Coturnix japonica: one gene and its partners. The protein of the gene in region 1 purifies or fractionates together with the protein of each later gene. This does not show direct contact. Links are inferred from orthologs where the notes say so. Each region holds a gene or a part of one and is shown on either strand. Other genes may lie near its edges. The genes, in order: FOXO1, ATG7 and SIRT1.

Region 1 (3,748 bases):
TCTCCTGAGGGTTCTAGGTGGTGTTTGGGCACACGGAACTCCAGAGATGCCCACCTGCAAAATGTGGCCGTGAGCTGCACAACCACACGGGCTGGGCTGGGGATGTGCTGGTGCTGACCGGGGAGTCCTCTGCAGCCTTCGTTCTGGTTGGCACAGCTCGTACGGAAGGAAAGATGTGTGTAACAACAGAGGTCTGGTGAGAACAGAAATGTTATGGAAAAAACTAAAAGCAGCAAAAGCTGGAAATAAATGCATTTCCTCCAGCACGATGGGTGCCGGCCTGGCTCTTTGGCTTTTATTTCAGACACCGGGAAAGTAAAAGGAAAGGGTTAGTTTATCCCCTTTTGCTTTAGCTCCCTCCAATGCACCCATTCGCATCCCACCCCGCGCAGCCCCGCTGTCCTGAGCTGCGCTGGGGAGCGCGGGCACACATCGCTCCCCGGGGCTGGGACGTGGCACAGAGAGTGTGAGCAGCTACTATTCCGCTTTTCTTCTCCATTAAACAGACATAAAAATATATGAACTTTTAAAAGACCTGTGGGCGAAACGGTACCGAGCTTCTGGCTGAGTCCTCAGCAGGCTTTGGAAAACGCAGAAGGGACTTAAAGCAAAAGGGATTCCGAAGTGCGACAGGCTGCAGCCAACAGCGGTCGCCTTTAGAGTGCTGGAGAACGTTCAGTGCCAGCAGGTCCTGCCCGCTTACACGCACGTAGAGGTACAATCTGTGGGCCTAAATCCAGTCTCCTACTGTACTCTTCTCCTTAATATTGTAGAGTATGTTTTTCGAGGAGCGACGAGCTATATTTAAGTAACCCCGACACTCTCAGGGGAGCGGGGACAGCCCACGGCCCGACGGGACGGGACAACCGCGGGACGGGCAGCGCCCGGCTCTGGGCTCGCTGAGGGTTTCGAGGCTGAGGCTGCAGTGGGTTGTTTAAAGCGTTACGGAAAATGAGGCAGATCTCGTTAAAAAATCGGCTGTGTTGTAAGGGATCTCATCCCTGCGATCGCCTCTCCCGGCAAAGCCGACGGCATCCGCTCGGTTTCAAACACGGGCAAAACTTTGCGGCTGCCTCCGCCACACGCGGGGGGCCGCTCCGCTCCGCTGCCGTCGGGGCCGGGGGCAGCTCCCATACGGGGACGTTCCCGCACAGTCCCGGCCCCGCTCGGCGACAGAGTTCGTTCCCAACGGGACTCGGCGGCTTCGCGCTGGAAAAAAAAAAACACAACAACAAACCCCCCCCTTAAAAAACAGAACACTACACCCAAACCCCAAACACACACAAACCGCCCACTAACAGCACGGGGGCACCGGCACCCTCCCGCAGCAGTGGCCCCGCGGCGGGAGGCGGGCGGGCGGTGCGGCGCTGCCATTGGCGAGGCTCGGGCCGGCCCTCCCCGCCGGGAGGAGGAGGAGGAGGAGGAGGAAGGCTGGAGGCGGGGCGGGCTCTGCAGTCGGTGCGCGCCGGGCGGCCGGGTCGCTGCTGCCGCCGCCGCCGAGGGCGAGGAGCCGGGCAGGGCGGCGGGGCCGGAGCCCGCGAGGTCGAGAACCGCGAGTGGAGTCGTCGGCCGCGCCGCGCCGTCGGGGTCGCGCAGATCCGCGCTCGGAGCTCGCATGGGGCGGCGGTGCTGAGCCCGCTCCGCTGCCCCCCCGCCGTCCCGCTGCCCCCCGCCGACGCCGCCGCAGCCATGGCCGAGGCCCCGCAGCTGGTGGACATCGACCCCGACTTCGAGCCGCTGCCGCGGCCCCGCTCGTGCACCTGGCCCCTGCCGCGGCCGGAGTTCAACCCTCCCAGCTCGGCCACCTCCAGCCCCGCGCCGTCCTGCGGAGGGCAGCCCGACGGGGCGGCCGCGGCCGGAGCGGCCGTCGCCGTCGCCGCCTCCGGAGCGCTGAGCGCCGACTTCATCAGCAACCTCTGCTTGGTGGAGGAGAACGAGGACTATGCGCTGCCCCCCGCCGCCGCCGCCCCCCCGGAGCCGGCCGCCTGCCGCTGCGGGGACTTCCCGGCGCCCGAGGCCGGCTGCCGCCTGCACCCGCCGGGACCGCCGCCGGTACCGCCGGTACCTCCGGCCGTGGCCGCTCTGTCTCCGGGCCCCGTGGCCGGGCAGCCCCGCAAGAGCAGCTCGTCGCGCCGCAACGCGTGGGGCAACCTCTCGTACGCGGACCTCATCACCAAGGCCATCGAGAGCTCCCCCGAGAAGCGGCTCACCCTGTCCCAGATCTACGAGTGGATGGTGCGGTGCGTGCCCTACTTCAAGGATAAGGGCGACAGTAACAGTTCAGCCGGTTGGAAGGTGAGGGCCGGACGGGACTCCTTTCGCATTTTCTTTTTTTTTTTTTTTTTTCCTCCCTAAAAGCAAAGAAAAAAAAGACAAAAACTACAGAAAAAAAAGACGCGGTTCTGCCCTCCCCCCGCAAGGCTCGGCTCTCTCTGGGAGGAGGGCCCCCCCCTCGCCCTGCCCCGCCGAAAGCAAAAGTTCACGCCGTGTCACGGCGCCGGCCCCGGGCGAGGAGGAGGGATCGCGGCTCCTCCCGGCCCCCCCCGCCGCTGCGGGCGCTGAGCGGCTCCGGGAGATCCGGGGGGAGCCGTCGGGAGACGGGGATGGGGCAGAGGCAAACAGCGATGGGGAAAGAGCAGGGGCAGGACAAGGGTTGCAGAAGTACCGTGTGTTTAATGAGTAAGCGCTCTGTTTGTCCCGGTGGCTGCGCTCAGCCCGCTTTGCAGGAGCGTGCGTCCTTTTAAACGTTGGTACTGAGCTTCCTGCGATCTCGGTGCGGGCCAGCAGCGGGGCTACCGGTGTAGAACCTGTTGATTTGGGGTCTTTCTGTTCAGCCCCTCCGCTTCCCGGCTTCACCCACGCGTGCGGTGCGCACCGCGGTGCCGACGAACGGGGTTTGCGGCAGCGCTGCGTGTGAGCGGCCAGAACCTCGCACCAAATCTTCCTCCTCCTCTTCCCTGCAGGGATGGCACAGGGCTGCCCTACTCCTGGCTCCGCACCGGTTCTGCCCGTTCTCGAGTTTTGCTCCCTTTACCTCCCAGTATCTCTTAATATTTACTTTATTTATTTATTTGTAAGCTCAAATCCGATATTTATATATTGTAACGTATTAACTGCACACCTCGAAATGGTTATTCCATCTGATTTTTGTAGACGTCATTATTTTGTGCAGGTAAGAGGTGCCCTACTAAAGAATCGTAGGTGAGGACCTCAAACTCCTTTTTGGTTTTAAGGCTCTTAAAGCTCTTAGAAGTAATGTGTTAGTTCCTATCGACATGTTTGGCTATAAAAGGTAAAGAATAATTGTCTCAAGGCGTCCCTAGGAGAGGAGTGATTGATGGGTGACAACTTTGAGACAAGGGAACTCAGCACTCACAGAATCACAGAAGATTCTCAAAGACGCTGGGTTCTTTTTCAGTTGTATTTTGGTCGGCTGGAAATAAAGCAAACTGCATTTGCACCATGAGCAGAAGAGACTTAAAACAGAGCAAATTTAATCAAAGAGCTCCCAAATTCAAGCAAGCAAATGTGAGCTCTTCTTGCTGCCCGATGGATGATGTGCTTCTTCTTGTGTTGCTTCAACAACTAATAGGGCTCACACACCTCTTCCTATGCCCACACACCTATGCTGTGCCGTACTGTACAGAAGTGAGCTGCTGGGTGATGTACTCTGTGGCAGGGCACAGAAGATACGCTGACAGTAGATATGTCCTGCATGTGCCTTGCTGTGTATGCTCTCCTTTTGACA
Region 2 (3,648 bases), on another chromosome or scaffold:
GTCTTTTATTCATTATTAAAACCTTCATCTTGATGTGGTAGAAGACCTATCAGCTGTTCATATTTATTTATTTTTGCTTTGGAATTGAGATTGCCTTTCTGTGCTATTGTTACTTGGTGATACTCAGTTATGGAAATATTTAATGGGGGAACAAGTATGGAATAGTGTGCATCTGTACAGTGTCAAATTGTGCACTAAGATAAAGCTCTGATTGAATTGTCATATGATTTTTTGTTTTTTCTAAATGGAGAAGAAAATTGAAAAAATAAAAACGGGTGTATTAGGAAAGACTAATGGAATTAGAAGAAATAAAGCTTGTTTGTGAAATCCCAAATAATAATATAGAAAGCATGATTTTGCACATCAGAAACATCGGAAACTTGTATTGTGAGTTTTCTTGTTTGAAAACAAACAGGAAAGCAAAATACCAGGCTAAGCTGTGGAGTTGTGAGGTTGTGATGAGGCTCACAAAAGCGTAAGTGTCGACTGGAGAGTTACTTGTAGTAATAAGAAGTAACAGTTGTCATTGCATTGGTTCCCTTTGGGACTAGAAACGGTTCAGCTGTCCTCTGGAGCTGCTTTGCTAGACCTAATAAGCCTTCTGAGAGAGCTGGGCTGTTTAGTTGAGGCACAAAGCTACTTGAATGTTTTTTGTCTGCTCTTGTAATCCAAACCAGTGTGTTTGCATTGAGCTGTTCTGTTCTGGATAAATGCAGCCTCTGAGACTGCCATTCACTCAAACTTTTGCACTGTACTTTAGTTTACATTACCTGTATACAAAGGGATGATAAGAGTTCAGTTGCCTTTCTGCCAAGCAGCAGCCCTACAATTTGTGTTGCACTTCAGAATAATTCTATTAACCCAAAAGTTTGTTTCTATATGCTGTTGTTTTTCTCTACCTCCATGCAGAATTCAGAAGGCTATAACATGAGCATCCCTATGCCAGGCCATCCAGTGAATTTTTCAGAAGTAACAATGGCACAGGCTCGGAAGGATGTGGCTACACTTGAAGAGCTTATTGATGCTCATGATGTTGTTTTCCTACTAATGGACACTAGAGAGAGTCGATGGCTTCCTGCTGTTATTGCAGCCAGCAAGAGGAAGGTATTGTAGTGCATCTTGTTAATAATCCCGTTACTGCATTTCAGCTTTTGCATATATCATAAAGTCATCCTTAAACAAAACTTTCTCTATCTGCTTATTTTTCATATGGAACTTCAGATTACTCTCAACACTTGTCACACTGAAAAGAGAAGGGGAAATGATGACAAAGTAATTTTGTATCATAGCTGCTTTTAGTCCGCATGTGACTAAACAGATGCATATGAAGACCATAAGTAATAATTACATGCTTTCCTCACTGAGAAAATATATATATTTTATTTTTGGATAGCAGATGTGCTGTGCTTTGTCACATAGGAGTTATTTCAGACAGTTAAAAGAATACTTTTGGTATCTCAAATGACATGAAAAGTTATTCTTGATCACCACTGTTGTACTTAAGTGGTATTTGGTGTATTTTAACACTCGAAGTTTCAATGTTTGGTTCAGAATATGTAGCAAACTTAAGAATAAACTCCGAGGTGGAACTAACATAAATTATTCCAATAGCAGTACTAATTACTATATGAGTATTAGGCCATAATATGGGGATGTTGATCCATATCAGCACATAGCAATTCCAGTCACTTCAGTGAGATGCAGTGTATTGGTTTGAAGTTGTCTTCAAATGCAAACTAGAATGTGCTTATGGACTTTGCGTTGCAGGGTTGTCTACAAGTGTGCCTAAATTTCTGCAACAAAAAAAAGTCGTTTTTTGTATCAAACTTCCCAGAAAGTCAAAGGAAAAAGATGTTTTCAGGACTTCTGAAACATTTTTGTATTTCTTTTGATGTTTGGCAGCTAGGAATTAGCACATATTAGAAAATCTGAGTTTTTTTATGGCTAGGATGTTAAATAGGTAGGTGTTAGGTTATCATCTGATTAGAGATTGTGTAGGTTTTTTTGTTTGATACATACAGTGAATGAAACCTGGAGGTCTTTTTTACCCTCCCCTTTTGGCTCACTTCAGGTTTGTTGTTCTCTCTGTTGTTTGTAGCTGGTCATCAATGCTGCCCTGGGGTTTGACACGTTTGTTGTTATGAGACATGGACTAAAGAAACCCAAACAGCAAGAAACTGGCAATGCATGTTTCAACACAGCCCCTGGTCCTTCTGACCTTTTGGGTTCATCGCTCTTTTCAAATATCCCTGGCTACAAACTGGGTTGCTATTTCTGCAATGACGTCGTGGCACCAGGGGATGTGAGTACAGTGTTATGCAAATGGTGACAAATATGTATCTCTCCTGTTGAACTGAATTTTTATTTCCTTTAAATGGGATTTCATTAGGGATTCCTCTTATATTGATATTCATTGGATTAAGAAACAGTTTGTCTTTTACTTGGATGATTGGTGGGGGGGAAAATGAATTGCAAGTCACTGAAGATATATTGTTTAGAAGAACAACTAAATTACTTTTGCATTACTTTTTTTTTTTTTTTTTTTTAATTTATCTATCATTCTAGTCTACCAGGGATAGGACATTGGATCAGCAGTGTACAGTGAGTCGACCTGGATTAGCCATGATAGCTGGAGCTCTTGCAGTGGAATTAATGGTTTCTGTTTTACAGCATCCAGAAGGGTGAGTCATTTCTGAGAGGAGTGGTGTTTAAAGAGATGTTCCCTGAGAAATCAGAGTTATTATATATAATCTACTGGGAGAAGGAGGAGGAGGTACACATTAAGAAGGGAAGTTCTGTAATGCATTATGTTGCCTACAAAATTAATATAAAGTATGGATCATGTAATATCTGTGTTACTGTAGTGTACCATTATTTCACAGAGAACCAAATGATCAAAGCAAAGTTTTGTCTTGGAGTTTGGCAATTTTTTTTCTGTGACTTTAAAAGTATCAAAGTACTGAGAACATTTCAAAAGAGAAAGTGATTTCTGTTAATAGATCCTTTACACAAGAGAGCTTTTGAGTGTAATGATGAGCTGACATAACTACTTTTGTCACAAGAAAGGCTTTAAGATAAGCCGAATGCTTCAAAATCCTAATTAAAATTAACTGCATGTGAGACACAAATGTCTCTGGAATTTTCTAATGTGACATTTAGGTTTATTTTCTCTTTAAAATCCGTGAAAGGAGTTGTAGGTTCCTTGCATTCGAATTCTAAGTCTCTGGTTCTGAAGATTTTGGTATTCCCATGCTAGAGCTTAGTTACTATGAAGCAAACTTTCCAGATAACTTACTTTCCAGATTCTAAACTGCAGGCTGCAGTTAAGTGCCTTGTAGCTTACTGGAAACTTTGACTGTTCAGTATGTTGTCTTGTTCTAACTTTCCTTCTTGGTTTTTTGTCAGTGGTTATGCTGTGGCCAGCAGTAGTGATGATAGAATGAATGAGCCACCTACTTCTCTTGGACTTGTTCCTCATCAGGTAAGAAATCTGTGAGAAAATGCTTTCATTTAAAACCTTGGTACTGATGTACCTCCTTAAAATGTACTCTATGCTGATCCGATTCCATTCCCAGAAGGGACTGAGTCTCCATGTTTGGATTAAAAAATAATTAAGTAAGGATAATGCAAGCCAAGGCTATAGTGTTG
Region 3 (3,748 bases), on another chromosome or scaffold:
CTAAAAGGTACTGAACAGTGAACCCATAACGAGGAGAGCAGTAACAACTAGGTCAGGTTTTAAGCGGAGCACTGCTGTTCTGTTCACTGTTCTTTCAATACCACACAGGATACAGGCAGTAATTAATGAAAACTAAATAATTTATATTTCTTCTAACAATTTTCAAACCAACCGAAGAGTAGGAAGAACTAAGCAAGTGTTCAAAGCCAAGCAGCATCTGAGAATAATTACATAGGCTTCTACCTATACGTGGTCTTGGGGTCCAGTCACTAGAACTTGCATGTGAAGCTCTGTCATCTTCATCACTGTCACAGGAGTGGAAACCATTGGCTATGATTTCATCGCTCAAAAGGAAGTTATCTGCAAGACAGCACAACAATGGAAGTTACAAAACTGAGCCAAGCAGCACAGTTCATGCACATTTAAATGCATCACAAAACCTAAAGTTGTAATTCATTGCATTCAGCTGTAATAGCCAACAAATAGGCAGTTTCATCACTTAAGTTGGTTTTAATTTTTCAGCTTATTAACACATTTTCAGGCCTCCGATTTACTGAAGGATTTCTATATTAATACTGGCATCAGTGGGCTGATGTTGACATGAATGAGGCATTCATTATATGCAGTGTTGGTTACTGAGTTTGTCTGTACCTTCACCGAGAGTGAAGTGTTTTAAAATTACCACTATTTTCTCATGCGGTTCTCACTTCATCCAGCTCTTACTGTGAAACTGGTAAAATCAATGTTCCGCACCTTATAAAACAATCTTCAATGGGGTTTTAAGAGCCCAGCATTTAAAAGCGCGCACAAGCACACAGCTGGATAGAGAGGAGAATGTTGCTGTGCTGTTATCTTGCAGCTGGCCACACACACACTCAAATGGTATTTCATTTATGACACAAAAACGTGCTGCCCTGAACCACCTTCACTAAGTTTATCATCCGCTGTACCTTGGGTTTGGCTTCCAGCACTCTGCTTGTGGTCCTAAGATGGAGTAACCCAATCTAACTTCATCACGCACCCAGAATAAGGGCTCTAGAGAGGACTGGGATACTCATTATGTCTTACTGTGATTTTACGTATTTAAAGCATCACAATTCTGTCTGGTAACATGTGAAGTCAGTGAGCATCTTACACAGAAAAGCTTTATGAATATGAGAAACATCCATCGGCACACTGTTCTACTACAACCAGTGTCTGCCATGTGAAGTCAAAGTCTGTGTCATTAACGACTCAACACATCATCACAGATTTATAAGATGTGACACCCAGCCTAAAGTACCAGTTGAAACTTAACACTCCCCAAGGAGCTGTCTTGATTCTTCAAAGAAATAAAAGGACTTCTTGCCAGAGACAGCCAATACAAACCAAAACACGTCTGAGAATCTGAGTGACTTGAGGAATAGGCTCTACATAAGGCATTTATAATAGAAATCACTTCCCAGGCAAAACGCGGTCTCTTACAGCATTTTAAAGGCCCTTCCTAAAGCACTACCTTAAAAACCCCAAAGCCTCCCGACCTGTCGGTCCCAACACAGCGGACCGAGCTCAAGTGCTGGTGCTGCCCAGGCCGTGCTCCAAACCCACCTGCAAACACAGCTCCCTGAGGGTGCAGCACTTTGCGCTTCAGCTGCTGAAGCCTAAGACTAACTCGAAGCTACTTAAAGAGCGGGGCCGCACAACCGCTCCTGTCCCTTCCACGCAAGTTTTCAAGAAGCAGAAAGAAAGCGACCGCTCCCATCTCTGGATCATAGTTTGATTCCGTAAGTCAATGGGGCTTTGGGTTGTCATTTCTAATAGCGCGCTGCCAGCACCGCGGCCGATCTTAGCATCGCGCCGAGGCCCGGCACGAATAGCGATCGGAGCGGGGAGGCCCGATCGGAGCAGAGAGGCCCGGGGCGCCGCAGCCGACGGGCGGCAGCCGAGCTCGGAGCTCCCCCTCGCCGCGGCCGCCCCGGGGCGGGACGGGGGATGGGGTCGGGTCCTCACCGGGCTGCGGGGCCGGCGCTCCGCTCGCCCCGTTTGAACGCTGCGCCCGCTCGCAGCCAATGGCCGCCTCCGCCGCGTCTTCTCCGGGCGCCGCCTCCGCCCCCTCCCCCCGGCCCCGCTGCCGCGGCTGCGGAGGCGGCTCCGCCCGGGCCAGGCCCCGCCGCCCGGCCCTATTGTCCGCGCCGCTCCGGCCGCCCGTCGTCGCGCCGCCGTCCTCCTCCTCCCGCGCCCGGCCGTCTCCGTGGGCGCTGAGGGCCGCCTCCTCCTGGCCCGGAGGTTCCGCGGCGGCGGCGATAGGCGGCTCCTCGCCCCGCTCGGGGCGGTGGGCGGGCGGCGCGCCCCAGCCGCAAACGCCGTGTTCCGAGTCGAGGCGCTGGCGCTTGGGCGCGGGCTCGGCGCCGTCGGCCGGGACGCCGGGTCCGCCGTCGCGGTGGCGGAGGAGCGGAGCGTCCCCGTCCGCCATCTTGGAGAAGCAACCGCCGCCGCCCCCCTCTGTGGCTCCGTCCCGCCCGGCGCAGCGCGCAGCAGCGCCGCCGCCACGGGCCCAGCCCCCACCACAGGGAGCGATTTAAACACGGCACGTGACCGCGCCGCCGCCCACGCGGGCGCCCGCCCCGAGGAGGCCGCAACAACAACAAACCGGGTCACGTGAGCGGGGACACGGAAGGGGGGGGGGGGTCAGGTCACGTGGCGTCCGGCGCCGGCTCGGCCCTCGCGCGGCCTGGCCTGCTGGTCACGTGACCGCGGGCCCTGTTGTATTACCTACAAGCACAGCAATCCTGATCTAACCTTAATGGATACAAAATTCGGTATTGTTTTGTTTAATATTACTGCTTAGTGTCGCCAACTAATTACATAATGGCTTCAGCGACTTGAATCCAATTCAACTTGGTGGTAAGACCAATATTAGACAAGTAGAATTTCTCCCTTGCACACCTTGATGGCATCAGCTGTAATGATCTGTACTGGTGGTTCAGTTGCACGTACCACGCTTCATGTGCATCAAAACAAGAAGTGATAAGATGTGAATCAGAGCAATTCTATCACTGTCTGCAAATCTGTCCCAAAGTGTTCGTTGTGTGTGTTGAAGTTGAGACAATCAGGTTTTGAGGCATAAAAAGGAAGGTGTTGTGTTAGTAATGGTGTTTGGATGCTTATTGACATGGAGATCCTGTTCTAAGACACCACGTAACTGGCACAGGTGGGCGATCCAAAGCTTTCTGTGAAGCTGTTGGTGAGGAAATGAATCGAGGGCCCTAAAGCCGACTCTAACCTTGCAAACATTTGCTCATGCAATGATGATGTTGCAGCAGTTACCCCCGGATTGGGAAGTCAGTTTGGCGGTGCTTGGGTCCTCTTCTACTTCTGCATCTCTGAGTGTGTGTGACCATCTGAAGGTGGAACATGCAGAACTTACAGAATCACAGAATTGTAGGGGTTGGAAGGGACCTCTAGAGATCATCGAGTCCAACCCCCCTGACAAAGCTGGCTCACTACAGCAGGTCACACAGTTCGGTGTCCAGGTGGGTCTTAAATATCTCCAGAGAAGGAGACTCCACCACCTCCCTGGGCAGCCTGTTCCAGTGCTCCGTCACCCTCACTGTAAAGAAGTTCTTCCGCACATTCGTGCAGAACTTCCTATGCTGTACTTTCATCCCATTACTCCTAGTCCTGTCCCCACGCACCACTGAAAAGAGACCAGCCTCACCGCTATGGCTCCCACACCTCAGGTATTTATAAACCTGGATCCAATCCCCTT

Evidence for each region.
Region 2: the proteins of FOXO1 (region 1) and ATG7 purify together in Homo sapiens (affinity purification with western blotting; 4 studies listed by BioGRID). This does not show direct contact. The link is inferred for Coturnix japonica from reciprocal best matches to the Homo sapiens genes FOXO1 and ATG7.
Region 3: the proteins of FOXO1 (region 1) and SIRT1 purify together in Homo sapiens (affinity purification with western blotting; 5 studies listed by BioGRID and IntAct, with this or other methods). This does not show direct contact. The link is inferred for Coturnix japonica from reciprocal best matches to the Homo sapiens genes FOXO1 and SIRT1.

What each region holds. Positions count from the first base shown.
Region 1 is NC_029516.1:152,516,675-152,520,422, forward strand, and holds the start of FOXO1 (forkhead box protein O1), read left to right. Parts: upstream 1-1,473; 5' UTR 1,474-1,689; coding exon 1,690-2,295; intron 2,296-3,748. UniProt on the Homo sapiens protein: Transcription factor that is the main target of insulin signaling and regulates metabolic homeostasis in response to oxidative stress.
Region 2 is NC_029527.1:2,881,904-2,885,551, forward strand, and holds part of ATG7 (ubiquitin-like modifier-activating enzyme ATG7), read left to right. Parts: intron 1-909; coding exon 910-1,104; intron 1,105-2,098; coding exon 2,099-2,302; intron 2,303-2,565; coding exon 2,566-2,681; intron 2,682-3,405; coding exon 3,406-3,481; intron 3,482-3,648. UniProt on the Homo sapiens protein: E1-like activating enzyme involved in the 2 ubiquitin-like systems required for cytoplasm to vacuole transport (Cvt) and autophagy.
Region 3 is NC_029521.1:8,449,425-8,453,172, reverse strand, and holds the start of SIRT1 (NAD-dependent protein deacetylase sirtuin-1), read right to left. Parts: upstream 2,607-3,748; 5' UTR 2,453-2,606; coding exon 1,990-2,452; intron 1,842-1,989; exon of another isoform or gene 1,588-1,841; intron 361-1,587; coding exon 244-360; intron 1-243. UniProt on the Homo sapiens protein: NAD-dependent protein deacetylase that links transcriptional regulation directly to intracellular energetics and participates in the coordination of several separated cellular functions such as cell cycle, response to DNA damage, metabolism, apoptosis and autophagy.